Notamacropus eugenii: one gene and its partner. The protein of the gene in region 1 interacts with the protein of each later gene in a biochemical or structural test. Links are inferred from orthologs where the notes say so. Each region holds a gene or a part of one and is shown on either strand. Other genes may lie near its edges.

Region 1 (7,221 bases):
TACTTCTAAAATGTCAGCAGCCTCCTAACCCTTTCTGTGGGATTATTCTACTACTTTATGAGGGATAGCCTTAGGCTAAAGCAATGATGAAACCCACAGCTGTTTACTGGAAAGGGGTTAAAGATATGTAAAAAAGGAAGGGAGTGGGGTGGACTGAGAGAGAAAAGAGCAAAGATGGGGAGTTGAATAAAGTCATCCAGGAGAAAGCATTTACTGCACCCTTGAAAAAGTGGCATAGTGAACTTAGTAGTAGAGCTGGGATATCAACCAGTCTAATAATTATTTATGAAGCTAATGTTACAGATCATCACAACTCCCACATAAAATAGAAAGTAAGCATCACCTATAGAGCAAAACAGTGCAAAACATATATATATATCTGCATGCATATGTATACACATATGTGTGTACATGGGTATACATACATGTATATATATACAGTGTTATGTGCGTACATACATATATACACACATACATACCATCAGAAACATAAGCTTTTTAGTAAAGTAAGGATGCTACATGATGCTCCAAGACAAAATAATACTAACAATAATGGAAAACACAGGGAATGAATTCTTTTAGAAAGCACTTAAATCTAGTGGTTATAAACAAAAGAAATCAATCTGATTCAAGTTTCCATATCACTTGCTCAGCCAGATAGAAAGTATGAGAGCTGCAGAGTCATCATATGGCTGGGTGAAGTAAGCAGCTGTCTTTCTGTGCTACATTTCACTGAAAGGGAGAGCCTAGGAGAAGAGGAACACACACAAGCAGCAAAGACCAGAGTCTGTGAGAGTGAGTCTGTTTTCACAGCTGGAGATAGGGCACTTACTATGCTATATACAGCATCACTGAGCCTGGAGTCTCAAGTGGGCAGTGTTAAATTGCACTGTAATGCAACCTGAGAATTAATGATTCCCCATAAAAGTTTTACCCATGCTTGGTCCAAAAAGTTATTTCGCTTCAAAAATAAGTAACATATCACATGTACTGCATCACTATTCATGTGGAGTACACTTCTTAATTAATCAAAGCAGACAAAAGTATCTGAACTAGACTGACTCCTAACACAGCAGAAAAGAACTTTGGGACATGTATTAATGTAAACATTTTAATTAGTTAAGACAAACTACGTCATTATTTCCCTATTTCCTAACACTTTCAAGCACAGATTACTTTTGATAAAAAGGCCCAGCACAGGATGAACCTGCAAATAGGTTCCTTATGGATTTTCCAACATTAGCACGTGTTCTTTGGCTAGGTTTGATTTTTGGCTTAAGTTTATTTTGGGGTGGGAGGGATGAAGTGAGAATGGACTTGCTTTTTGAGCACTGACAAAGGGAAATCATTATATTTCACCAAATTGAGAACATGGCTATATTTGCTTCAAACATAAAGTCAGCTAAGGGCCTTTGAAGATTTATAAGGAACAAAACTTTTTAACTGGTAAGTATTTTCTTGCAAAACATCAGTCAGTCTTATTATAACGTTATGATTCCAACCAAGTACTGGACCCACAGATACATATCAAGAACATAAGAGCAACATGACTTGAGGTTAGAAATTATAGGTAACCAGGTTCTTTGAATAGGAAAATTTCAAATGTTATAGAAGAAAGTTTCTTTTAGCTGTAATACAAAAAAAAAAAAATTCCCAATTTGAACCCATTATTTTTGTCTAATGTTCAAATAGGAACATGGCACATTCGATGGCCAACTTACCAGAGTGTTTGCTGCAGTAGAAGCAGGTGTGTCTGAACTATTCTCTTCAAGAGTCTGGTGAGGTTCTTCATGACCACGAGTAACAAGAATTCTAAAGTGTTGTTGTCGGGAATTCTGATCTTGCCTGATCTTAAAAGTGCAGCCCTTATTCTGTGGAATCCTTTCTATGGAGTTACTCCTTTGTATTTCAGGACAATTCCTCCCATTGTTAGGAGGTTCTGAATTCACCCTGTCTTCCATTGGGCTGACTCGTTCAGGTCGAGGTTGGACTGGATAGGAGGTACTCCTCTCTAGCCTTATTCTTGGATACCTGACCAACCTGTCCCCCTTTGTTCCAGTAAATCCAAAATTGAAATCACCACCAAGGCTTGGAGTGCTTGCTTGGGGTTGTTGCAACTGGAAAACAAAACACCTTTTCCCAGAACTAGCAGATACATCTGGCACATGTTGCAAAGACCAACGCCTGGGCTCAGGAGCAGAAGGGTTGTTCTGAACCTCTGATCCAAAGGGCAAGAGTCTAACCTGACGCATATCTGCGCTCGAAGCACGATGCTGAATTCTCACTCCAGTTATGTTGGAACCTGAAGCATTTTCATTGCCTTCTACACCCTGGGCAACTGAGGGGACAGCATCACCTTGGTTATCTGAAGGAACAGTACAAAACACTCTGTGACTGCAAGTATTATTAGATCCATTGACCTGTTGTCCTAAATCATTGACCAACCTTGGTGGAGAATTACTGGGGGATTCTCTTTCTGAAGTTTCTTGGGAGCTGCTTTGGGATGAAGAAGGTCTACTTACTGGTGCAGTAAAATTCTCCCTAAGGTCTGAAAATTTATAGGGAAGGTCCTCATCAAGAGAATCTGGTGCCCCGCACTCATCAGTATGTCCGTTCACAGCTTTGCGCTGCAGGGAGATTTGCACAGATGAGCTCCTTGTTGGACGGGCATCAATGTTATTCAGCAGCTGAGGGATAAACATGGATGTGCTTCGTTTGAGAGATCCAACTTCTTGTAGGCTACCGCCACCATACTCTGCTCCATTTTGAGAGAATGGGTGAGGACTGTTTCTCCTTGGCAAAGTGTGGAATGCCATAAAAAAGTCGTCTTCTCTCTCTCGATCTAGGATCTCTGATTCAGGGGCTGTGTTGCTTCGACCAGAGCCAAAATGAAACCGCAGCCGATGGGCCATGGTTTAACAGGAGGGCAGGAAAGGAAGGGAGACAACAATTCAAGCACTGCCAGAAGTTAAAAATCAAAGACATAAACTCCAAGAAAAATTGTCCCATCTGCCAAACTGTTAGCACTGCACCAACGATAGCGACAGATAGCAGAAATAACCCAAGTGGCAAGCTGCATTCCAGGCATGATTGGATAAGAGGAATCGGAGCTTCTGCACACTGGGACAGAGGGTAGGATGGTTAGAGCCACATGACCTTGTTCTCCCTCTCCAATGCCAGCTTCTGGACTTGGGCTGGTTTTTTTTTTTTTTTTTCTCCCTCTCCCTCTCCCTCTCCCTCTCTTTTAAACAGTAAGAGCCTGAAACAGCACCTTCCCAGCTGCTCTTTTTCCATCAGAAAGGCATTGCCCCAGCGGGCGAGCTCTCACAGCTGACTACAGCAGCAAACACTCTCAGGGCTACTATTAATCTAAATCACATCATATTCACAGGGCACTTCTGAACTAAGCAACACGCGCGCGCACGCTTCCACACATACACACGCACACGCACACGCACGCACACACACACGCGCACACACACAGCACACTCTCCCAAAACACAAAGTGCCTTCCATTAAAAAACAACCCCACATCTTCCCACATCCCCACCACCTCCTCAGAAAGACCAACTTAGAAAGTAGAAATAGGTCTCAGATTTTCACAAGCAGCACCTTTTGTTTGTTTGTTTGTTTTGCCGGGCTATGTATGACATCAACAGACTACTATGGTGGAATGCAAACTAGTAAAAACATACTATAAATATAATTACACACTGCCCAGAAGTAGCTCCCTTTAACGCTAAATAATTAGACTATGATCTACAAGGAAGAAAATATCTATGTGGGGGATGGGAGACAATTTAAAACACTGCTGGAGTTAATACTATGAATCTTGCCACTACCCTGAAACATTTTCTTTAACAGCTACCAATAGGAAAAAAAAGGTTACAAAGAGAATTCTCACCAGAGGAAAGTAAAAGAGCAATAAAAACGCAGCTTGAGAAAATATCGTCCCTCATACATGCCAGGTAGGAATGACTGAAGAAAATCCAAAAAGGTTGGTATATATATACAGATTTGTATTAATTTCATACAGATACCATGCAGAGGCAATGTTGCCCCAAATTAATGCAATTTGGATGCCCATATGGGATATTCTTATGCTTGTTAAGAGCCAAAATGCTTCACAAAATAGAAAGGTTTTAAAATTCATAGAAAGTCATCAATTTCATTCACTCCAAACAACACTTCTAAAAAGAATTATTTATGATTGTCTTTCATGTTAATTCTTTCTCACAGACCAGAAATAGCAATTGTATAGGTTGACCTGGAGTAGGAAAGGAATATAACCCAAATAAAAGGTCTAGACAAGGTTCTATTAAAATCCCAAAGTATAGTTTTGACGACAGATCTGGAATCATGGGTATAGTGTAGGGGGGTGGGTTTGGGCTGGGGGGGAGTCCAACACCATGTTTAGACATCCAAATCTGTTTTCTAGCAGCATGTTTCCAAATGCCAAGATGACCAATTATGAAAAAAATGGAATCTGGCTTGTTCAACACTAAAACTGCCAAGCACCAGCACAATCCCATATTGTCTTTAACAGGCCTCCGCGCCAACAAGAAAGAACACAGCTATTCGTCACACAGTAACAGTGCTGCAGACAGCTTGGTGCAAACCCAGGTGTTAGTATTATTAAACATAATTTTCAGAAAAAGCATTCTTTCTGCAGCAGTGCTTTGGCAAGCACGTCTTATGCATTTTAGACCCTTCTAACAAGGAATGCCTGAGGGGCAAGAGACAGAACACAAAAAATATCTTAAAGGTAGCATAGTTAAATAAAGAAATAAGGGAAATTCTTTTATTTTCATAGTGAAATCTTCTGGACTAGAAACTGTATGTTAAATGCAAAATTAATTTCAACCAAAAAAAAATCCTTTATTTCCTTTCTAGGTATTACGTCTCATTTAATTATCAAGATCTAGTATACTAAAGTTGGTTCTGTCTTCTCTTAAGGCACTATTTAATACAGTCTCTTCCATCTAACTTTTCCTCCCTATGTGCAAATAAAGCACAGAAAACAGCAACCCCCCATTCCAAAATAAACCCCCATCCATTTCTAAGAATAAGCGTATATAAATAACAGAATTTAGATCACTGACAATAAAAATATTAGCATTATTTATATGCTATATGACTATATATAATGTTTTTATAGATTTCCTAGTTCCTAATGTTTTGGAGGTAAAACGGTACATTCACTAACGCTGGACCCATATATATTTTAAAAGCTCCTGAGAGACATGAGAAAGTCTAACTTGTCTGAGATGATTTCTGGAATAACGTTAATCACTGAAGAAGACAAAATGAACATTATTTGATTGTCAAAATGACAGGGCAGGTGCATATCAATTTAAATACAAGAAAACAGCATGGTCAAGAAATACTGCCCCCAAGAACTAGAAGACTTAGGCTTAAATACTGCCTCTGTCTTTGACTAAAAAGCAGCGTGACCTGAGACAAAACCCTTTGCCAACTTGGTGGTCACCAACTCTATTTCTTCATCTGTCAAACAGGGGAGGGGAATGGGTGGACAGAAAGTTGCTTCTGTCTGGATCAATCTGTAAAACTTTATTCTGGTTTGAAAATCATAAGAAAGTACTAAACAATAAGAACCTACATTTTGGGGACAGTGAGTAGAGAAAGAGGGGAAGATAGAATAGTAGTAATAAGATGAGGAGGAGGAGTAATTAGCAGCAGTTGTAGTGGTAGTAGTAGTGGTAGGTAAGAGTAGTAGTAGTAGCAGCAGCAGTAGTAGCAGTTCCAATGGTAGCAGCAGCATTTTATAGTGCCTTCTTTGAGGTTTACCAAATGTTTAACAAATACTATCTCATTCTGTCCTTATAACATCCCTGGGAAGTGGGTGCTGTTATTATCCCCAGTTTCCAGATAAGGAAGTTGAAGCAGAGAGAGGTTAGGACATTGGAGGTGGAGAACGTGGGGCCTCAAGGTCGCATGTGGCCCTCTAGGTCCTCAAGTGCAGCCCTCTGACTGAATCCAAACTTCACAGAAGAAATTTCCTTAATAAAAGGATTTGTTCTGTAAAACTTGGACTCGGTCAAAAAGCCACACCCAAGTACTTAGACGGTCACATGTGGCCTTAAGGCCACAGGCTCCCCACCCTGGGTTGAGTAGTTTGCCCAAGGTCATACAGTTGGTTAGTTGCTGTGGTTAGATTTGAATCCTGGTAAACTGATTTTTCTGCTATATGATTGTGGAGATTGCTATAGATGATACAGACGTAATAATGATCTTTTTTTCCCCTTTTAATAAAGGGTCTGCTTAGCTGTATAATATATTTTCCTCATTTAAGCAAAATGAAGAAACAAAATCTCAAATTGAAAAGCTGATCCTCTTTTTGCATTTTTTTCCTAATGTTTATCTGTAGACTATTTTAATTAAGCATTCCAGATAGAAATTTTCCTTCTATACTTTGAAGACAACTAACCATCTTTTGGGGGCAGGTAGGCGGTGCGATGGAGTCCGGAAAGACTCACCTTCCTGAGTTCAAACCTGGCCTCAGATGCTTATTAGCTGTGCAACTGTGGGCAAGTCACTTAACCCTGTTTATTTTAGTTTGTAAAATGAGCTGGAGAAGGAAATGGCGAAGCACTCCAGTATCTCTGCCAAGGTAATGCCAAATGGGGTCACAAAGAGTTGGACATGACTAAAAAACCACTGAACAACAAAAAAACACTTTTTAAAAACTGTCATGAATTTTTTTTTCTCTCCTAGGACAATCCATCCCTCTTTTCAAGTTGTTAGATATATCTTGAACTACACTACCCAAAGAAAAGCCATGTGGACAAGTATACTTTGGGATTCCACAAAGTTAGTTTACGTATAATGAATAATCCTTACACAATTATATCACCATTCTGTGTACCAAATCTCAGCACGTAAAGAGTTTATGTGAGCATTAATGGGTTTTATTTTTACTTACTGGGAGAAAAAAACACACACATACACAAATATCCTTAATCTTCTCCTGCGCCATTACCACATAATTAGCACAAATATAGATGAGGAATATTTAAAATTTTTTAAATATCTGGATATTATTACATAAACTACTCTGACCCATACCATACATGTTAACATGAATGTAGATGGCTAGACAAAGTGTCATTGAAAGTTGCATGCATTGAGATTCAGAGTGATCTAGGTCCAAGTCTTTTCTCTGCACATACTATCTGTACGATGCAGACAAGTCACTTAATC
Region 2 (7,242 bases), on another chromosome or scaffold:
TAGTAAAAACCCTCTAGGTTTTCATTCAGGACTTATCCAGAATTCTCCGTGGGCACCAAACAAAGATTCATTTTACAAGATTTTCCAACTAGGTTAAAACATGATATGCAGTTATGCCTGGAATCTCAACCATAGAATTCAAAAATAAAAGGATTATTCTTTTAGGAAAATCCAATACCATGAAACAAGGCAGAGTAGTGCAGTAATAGGACAGAGTGGCAAATTTGGTTTTAAAGGACTTGAATTCCAGTCCTGACACCACTCTGGGAACTGGATAACCTTAGGCAAGAAATGTAAGGTCTTGGGGTCTCCATTCTTTATTTGTTAAATGAGAAACTAGAATTTGGACGTTTCTAACTGGACACACTTGAACTACTTTTTTTAAGTATTTTGATAACTGTACTTCAGCAAAATTGGTTTTCTTTGTAATCCTATTTTAAAACATTATTTTAAGAAGCAATATACATAGACTTCACCAGACTGCCAAAGGCAACCATGGTAAAAAGATTATGAAGCCTTGGACTAGATGATCTCCAAGATTTTTTTTCCTATTTTAATGCTATCTATTATCATAAGTTGGAATCAACTTTGAAAATATAGGACTTAGGGTATGATGTCATTGAAAAATCAAGGAACCTAACTCCTAAGTTGAAAGCTCTACCTACCTAGTCATGGTGATATCCTCGTCATCTTTTAGTGGACAAAGGACAAAAAAAGAGTGGGAGAGTATTTGAAACCCTGTCTCTACTTCCAGCAATCTGATAGGTACAGATCAGTAGGCAGATCAAACACATGGCTAGTCATCTTGGTGTAACTTGTTTTGCTTCCATTCTCATCTTTTATCCACCCCAAATAAAAGGTAGGTAAATTCCCTTGGTCTATTTAAATGTATACATATATATACATACTTATGTATACACACACATATATACATATGTATACACACACATATGTATCAAGGATTGATATAGCACCAAATGGGTAATTTGGTAGTTTGTGGTTTTTAGCAGAAGGGCAGCAGATGGTTAATTAGTATTGCAATGAGCACATTTCCTTTGCAAGATACATGAAAGGCAACTTTTTAAAAAACCAAAACGATTCTGTAATGGTACAATTGAATAAGGATACCTGCTTTCTTAAAACTATTAAAGCAAAAATACAAAACAATCCCTCCCACCCACCCCACCCCCCAAAAAAACAAACGATGAATTAATAGAATTATTTCAGGGAGAAACAGGATAGTTTTATTAGCAGATGGTTCACTGACTGCTGATATATGTGACCACCATTATCTTTCAAGGACAGATTTTTATTTTTATATTGGGGGAGAGAGGTAGGCAAAGAGACACCGTAAAGATCCATTTAGTTGTGGTGACTTGATCTTCCTAGGGATCAGTCAGAGCCCTGGTAACAGGCATCACCTGGTATTTATTGCCTCTGCTCTTGCACAAGCATCTTCTAACAGAGAAATAATATTCTTTTCCATGCATTTGCTTTTGCCCCCAGGACCTTTTGGAATGATGTGACTTCAGTAATGAGAAATAAATCAAAGTCTGGCAAAAAAAAAAAAAAAAAAAAAAAAAAAAAGCTCTCCAACCCTCTCATCTTTTCCTGACAAGCTGCTTGTATTTTTCCAGCTTGCTTCTCTGGTGCAGGGAGTTTGCTCATCCCTGCTCATAATTCAACTGACTTGCCTTTCATTGTGTTGTGCTGGCGGGTTAAATGAAGTGAGTGACTGCATTTCTGTTCCTGGCATCTCACCGAGAGTACATGAATGGAGGACAGAAAGAATGAATGAACAAAATAATTTTGATGGGGCTGCCCCAGGGTATTAAACACGATGGGAAGGAGGTGGGGTCAGGCTGTCATTCCCTAAGAAACACTCTTCATTAAGGAGTTTCTGATGTCATTGGGCCACTTAACAAACCCATTCGGCTTACCTCCTACTTGGACATTAATATGTAGGTTTATGTAGACCACCTATGCTGTCTGCACAATGGCATAATTTTATCGTCAAACAGAAAGGAAAATGATATTTCCCTTTTTCTGCCCATTCCCAACGAATGGAGCACAGTGAAATGCTCTGGATATTCTGGTGTGCACATTTAAAAAAATGCATTAATGTATAATAAACACTGAGGTATCGGTCAAATCCAGACCCTTGCTGCTTTCTCTCACAAAAAAGCTCCCCCCCTCCTCCGGAAAAAAACCTCCAAAGGTAATTGTACTAAATTAGCTCAACCAGAACACAGGGGAATTCAAAGAGAGCTCTTGAAGGATGGCCTTCAATATTTCTGATTGAGGTCATGCTTGCCCTTTACTGACTCAGTTCTGAATTACATCTTCTCCCATGAATTGGTGCTGTGGCTAGAGACACAGCCCGTTACAGGTTGGATGATTTGGGGACCCCAGAGGTACTTCTCCTGCTGAGTGAGGACGGTAATGTAGCACTCTAGACAAAGTGAATGAGAGGAGGAAGAAAGTTGAATACTTCAAACATGGAGAGGGGAGAGAAAGGGAAGAGAGAGAGACGGAGAGACAGAGAAACAGAGACAGACAGACTTAGGAGAAAGAGAGAGATACTTCAAGAGCCCCTAACTAAAGCTACAGTTATAACTGGACTTGATCCAATTATGTTTTTCAAAGGTACAGAATCTCTGGTTTTGACAGAGAATCTTTCTTTCCATAGCCGACCCTGTCTCTAGCAATTCCTGCCCATCCCCCTCTCCTCACCTCCCCCTGCCCACCCCCAGCTGCACCTTAGGCAGGTACTCTCTGCCCTTATTTCTCAGTTCATTCACCAGTCTTCCACACACCGCTTTATGGGGGAGGGCTTGTCACCCGAGCAATATTCCCACTTCAGGTCGGCATAAAGACGCATTTCAAGAAAAGAAAGAAACAAAAGGGAGAAAATCGAGCAAGACCCGTCCTTACCCTCTTCTTAAAAAACTGAAAGGCTGAGCATTTCTTGACTGGGAATCCATTCATGTCTTTGTTGACCATCTTCCACAGCGGAGAGTGCACAGTTGGAGGTCCGGTACGGGGCACTGGCTTAGTGCATCGGCTTTCCTCAGTATCCCTTCTGGAGACAGTTAACGAGGAGAGCGGGGCGGACGCAGCACCATCAGATTCCAGGCAGCGAGTCCTCCCTTCACTCATTCATTCTGCTGCACCAGCTACTGCGGAGACCTTCTCCAGCGTTCGGCTGCCATAGGCTAGATCGTTTTTCTTTTAGTCATTCCTCGATTTCACAAACACAACTGCTACACGACCCTGGTGGCAGCCCACAGACCATATGCGGCAAGTCTCCGGGTAATGGGAACCGGCGCCGAAGGATGCCGGGCTCTTTGTAGTATTATTTTTTAATCTAAATAGGAGCACAGGAGAGACTAGGTCCCTCCTGTTTACCTGGCTGCATCCCTCCCGCTCTAGAACCTGGGCTTTCAGTTAGTGGTTCTCCAAGTGATGTCTTGCCGCGGTTGGAGAGGAGAGCTGTTTTTGATTGTGCCGAGTTCCAGTGGGAACTGTAGTTAAGCAGCTGAGAGGGAGCAAGAAGAGAGAGCAGGAAGGAGAGAGGGGCGGAGGGAGGGGAGAGAGAAGGAGAGAGGGGGGGGGGAGAGAGAGAGAGAGAGAGAGAGAGAGAGAGAGAGAGAGAGAGAGAGAGAGAGAGAGAGAGAGAGAGAGAGAGGAGAGAGAGAGAGAGAGAGAGAGAGAGAGAGAGAGAGAGAGAGAGAGAGAGAGAGAGAGAGAGAGAGAGAGAGAGAGAAAGGGGAGAATGAGAAGAGGAGAATGAAAGAGAGGAGAGGAAAGAGGAGAGAGAGACAGAGTGAGAGACAGAAGCAGAGAGATACATAGAGAGACAGTGCAAAGGAATAACTGAGCAAGGATAAATTAACCAAAAGGCTTTCTGGGATGAATACAAAAATAGTCCCCCTCCACACCCCTCTTTTTTGTTGTTGTTTGGACCATTTAAGTCACAGCCTTAAAAAGAAATGTGCTCACTTCCTTATGAAATGCAGGCGACTTTGAGTTTCATGATTCTCTAAAACAATTGACTATATTTTCTTCAATAAAAGCCTTTTGAATGAAAATATAATTTGATTTATTTCGTGAAGTGTCCAAATGGAGAGAGAAAGGCAATAAAACTATCCAGAAGATTTCCTCAGGTTAAGAAATATGTTTAATCGCAGGTATCCCAATTGCCAATTTTTCTCCTGAAGGTGACAAAATATCCTTTTTATCTTTCTCTCCCTTGACTTGTCACAATAAGAACATAAGACAGGGTTGTTGTATTATTTTTCACTAAAGGAAACAAGAATACCTTGTACAAATAGTGCTATTTATTTGAAGGCCGTGAGTCTTAGAAAGAAATGATCAAACTCCTTTGGACTGTGGGAAAGAACATCTTTTTTAAGTTAAAGGGATCCAGTTAAGTAAAAATAGAAACAAAGCTTCCTTATCTATGCTATTCTGTATATATCAAATGACTGAAATAGAAATATATAGTCATATAATTTAATCTGGCCACTTTTGCTACTGGATTTTGACAATCCCTTAGAATATCTTTTTTGGATTAAAAAACCTCAAACATTCTGTAGTCTCCAAATAAGAACTGTATATATCATTGTTTGACAGGATAGGTCATTAGGATCACAGAGATTTAGCATCATGTATAGGCTCTGCTACAGTGTTTGACTTTCAGCAAATCACCTGACTACTTTGCACCACCTCCTTACCTCATAATCAAAATGCAGAAAATGTGCAAACTTGCATTAATTTATCCAAAATGCAATGCCTGCTGTGTGATACACAGCCCTGTTTGAGGGCATTGTGAGATAGGGAATTGGGACTGGATCTATCCTTTCACTGGTATTGGAGGTCCCCCCCCCCCAGCAATGCAAATCGACACCTTGTCTGCAATTTAGGGTTTCAGAGAGCTGCCTAGAGCATTGGGAGGTTAATTAACTTCCCCCAGGTTACATAGCCAGTATGTGTGGCAGGCAGAATTTGGACCCAATTCTTCCTGGCTTCAAAACCAACTTTTGATCCATTATACCATAACCCATCTCATCCTAGCGTAGAAATATAAAATAAATGATTGAGTAACTTGCTCAAAGTTATACAGGTGGTAAGATAACACAGGCAGCATTTGAACCCAGGTTCTGTCGTTCAGACTGAATGTTGTTTTCACTGGACCGTGGTCATTCAGTAGACTGAATTTTCTGGAAGACAAATGTAATGTAAGCAGAATTGTTGCTTGCTCTCAGTGGAGTGTGTTGACTTGAACTGAAGGCAGCACATTTCATAACCCAAACCATCCATGCACTAATGGACACTCTAGTGATTTGATGGAGTTAATCAAATAGGAGAGTCATTTATTACTGTGTTAATTGGAAAAAAAAATAGGTTCTTTGGGAAATCTATGTTTTGCATCAAAATGACTTTTAAATCAAGAGGTTCCCCATTTACTAACAAATGGAAAAGAGCAGGTTTCTGAAGCAGGTTTACAAGAGAAAGCGATCATTATCCAGTATGGGGCTTTTTTATCTTTTTTATGTCATGGGATAATATTTGTAAAGAACTTAGCACATAGGTGTTTTATAAATGCTTATTTCCTTTTTCCTTCATGGATCTCCTTGACTGTATAGCGAAACCTCTGGATTCCTTACCAGAGTAATGTTTTTAAACGTATAAAAATAAGTCAAGTCAATACACATTTATTAAATATCTGCTATGTGCCAGGTACTTTGCTAATAACTGGGGATATAAAGACAGAAACAGTTCCTGCTTTCAAGGAGTTTACAATCTAATGGAGAAGACTTATGTGAAACAGCTATATACAAACGAGATAAATAAAAGGCAATGGAAGATAATCACAGGGGGAAGGCATTAACATTAAGGAGGATCGGGAAAGACCTTGCAGAAGGTGAGATTTTAGCTGTCCTGAAGGAAGCCATTGATGACAAAGGAAACCAATTCTGTTGAAATATAATTATCAAAATTTATTTTAAAAAGTCCGTAGGCTAAGAACCTCTAATCCAGTGTAACTGTCTTCCTTTACAGACAGGAAAACCAAGGCCCAGGGAGGTTAGATTATTTGTTTGAGGTCATCCAGCTAGGTAGTGATAGAAACAAGGTTAGAATTAATTTATATCTCCGGATTCTTATTCAGTCATTTCATTCTCTGCTACACCATTCAGCCCAGATCTCTTTTTGAAGCAGGCTTACATGGCATATGATTTTCCTGGAATATGTAATATTACTGTTTTAAAAACCCTGGCTTGTGAATGAGGTGGACTAATTGAAAAAATGGTCCAATTGACTGCACTGTATCAGTTAGGAGGAAGGTGACATCATCGCTTTTACTCCTACTTGTGTTTTCACAAACCTGCAGCCTGGATGCCTGTCCCTGGGTGCATTCACGTAATGATGACTGGCACTAAGGAGCTGGGCCTATCGCCTCTGGCAGGCAGCTGAAAGAGATACACCCTCTCCTCAGGCTGCCATCAGTAGCTGCAGAATCTTGCCATTACTGAAACATCACATTCCACTGGGAGCCGGAGCCCAGCTGAAATGAAACTCCCACAATATTTCCCCCTTCAGCCTGAGAGTCCTATTGAGGATGAATGAGTCTCACTTTCTACTCTGAAGGTCAACTGTCCTTCCAATTCCCTTTTAAAACGACAGAGTAATTTCTATGAAACTGTAACCTTGGTGTTCCACCTCATTCTAATGGAAAACCTCAATGTGTGATGAGATCTCTTGAATGATGTGTTTTCAATTTGAAGTGGAATGTTTTTCTCCTTCCTTTTGGTGGTTGATTCATGCCTTTTTTTTTTTAAATCCTCTCCTTCTCAAATGTGGCTTTGGATTTGAACCTGAGTGTAAGGTAGATGAGATGTAAAACAAAAAAGATTAAATATATCTGTATACATGTATACATACATATTTGAAAATGTTTTGATCTCTTTTTTTTAACATCTCTTTATTTCCAGATGTCTGCCTTCTTTCCTCTACTACCCTGAGCTCCCCTCCAAAAAAAGACAGAGAAGAAAACTAGAGCAAAAATCTTCAGTAAAATTAACCATCATATCAACCAAGTCTGACAGTATGTAGTATATTCTGAATATATAGTTTTGCCTCTACCAAGGAGGAAAGGACACATTTTCATTTGTCATTATATCATTATAATTACACAGTATTTTATACAGGGTGTTCCAAAAGTCTCATTGCAGTTTTAAG

Evidence for each region. The genes of interacting proteins can lie anywhere in the genome.
Region 2: of the proteins of NEDD4L (region 1) and SGK1, one has a biochemical effect on the other in vitro, tested with the Homo sapiens proteins (5 studies listed by BioGRID). The link is inferred for Notamacropus eugenii from reciprocal best matches to the Homo sapiens genes NEDD4L and SGK1.

The regions. Positions count from the first base shown.
Region 1 is NC_092875.1:431,905,992-431,913,212, forward strand, and holds the start of NEDD4L (E3 ubiquitin-protein ligase NEDD4-like), read right to left. Parts: upstream 3,007-7,221; 5' UTR 2,913-3,006; coding exon 1,722-2,912; intron 1-1,721. UniProt on the Homo sapiens protein: E3 ubiquitin-protein ligase that mediates the polyubiquitination of lysine and cysteine residues on target proteins and is thereby implicated in the regulation of various signaling pathways including autophagy, innate immunity or DNA repair.
Region 2 is NC_092873.1:220,168,057-220,175,298, forward strand, and holds the start of SGK1 (serine/threonine-protein kinase Sgk1), read right to left. Parts: upstream 3,019-7,242; 5' UTR 3,004-3,018; coding exon 2,935-3,003; intron 1-2,934. UniProt on the Homo sapiens protein: Serine/threonine-protein kinase which is involved in the regulation of a wide variety of ion channels, membrane transporters, cellular enzymes, transcription factors, neuronal excitability, cell growth, proliferation, survival, migration and apoptosis.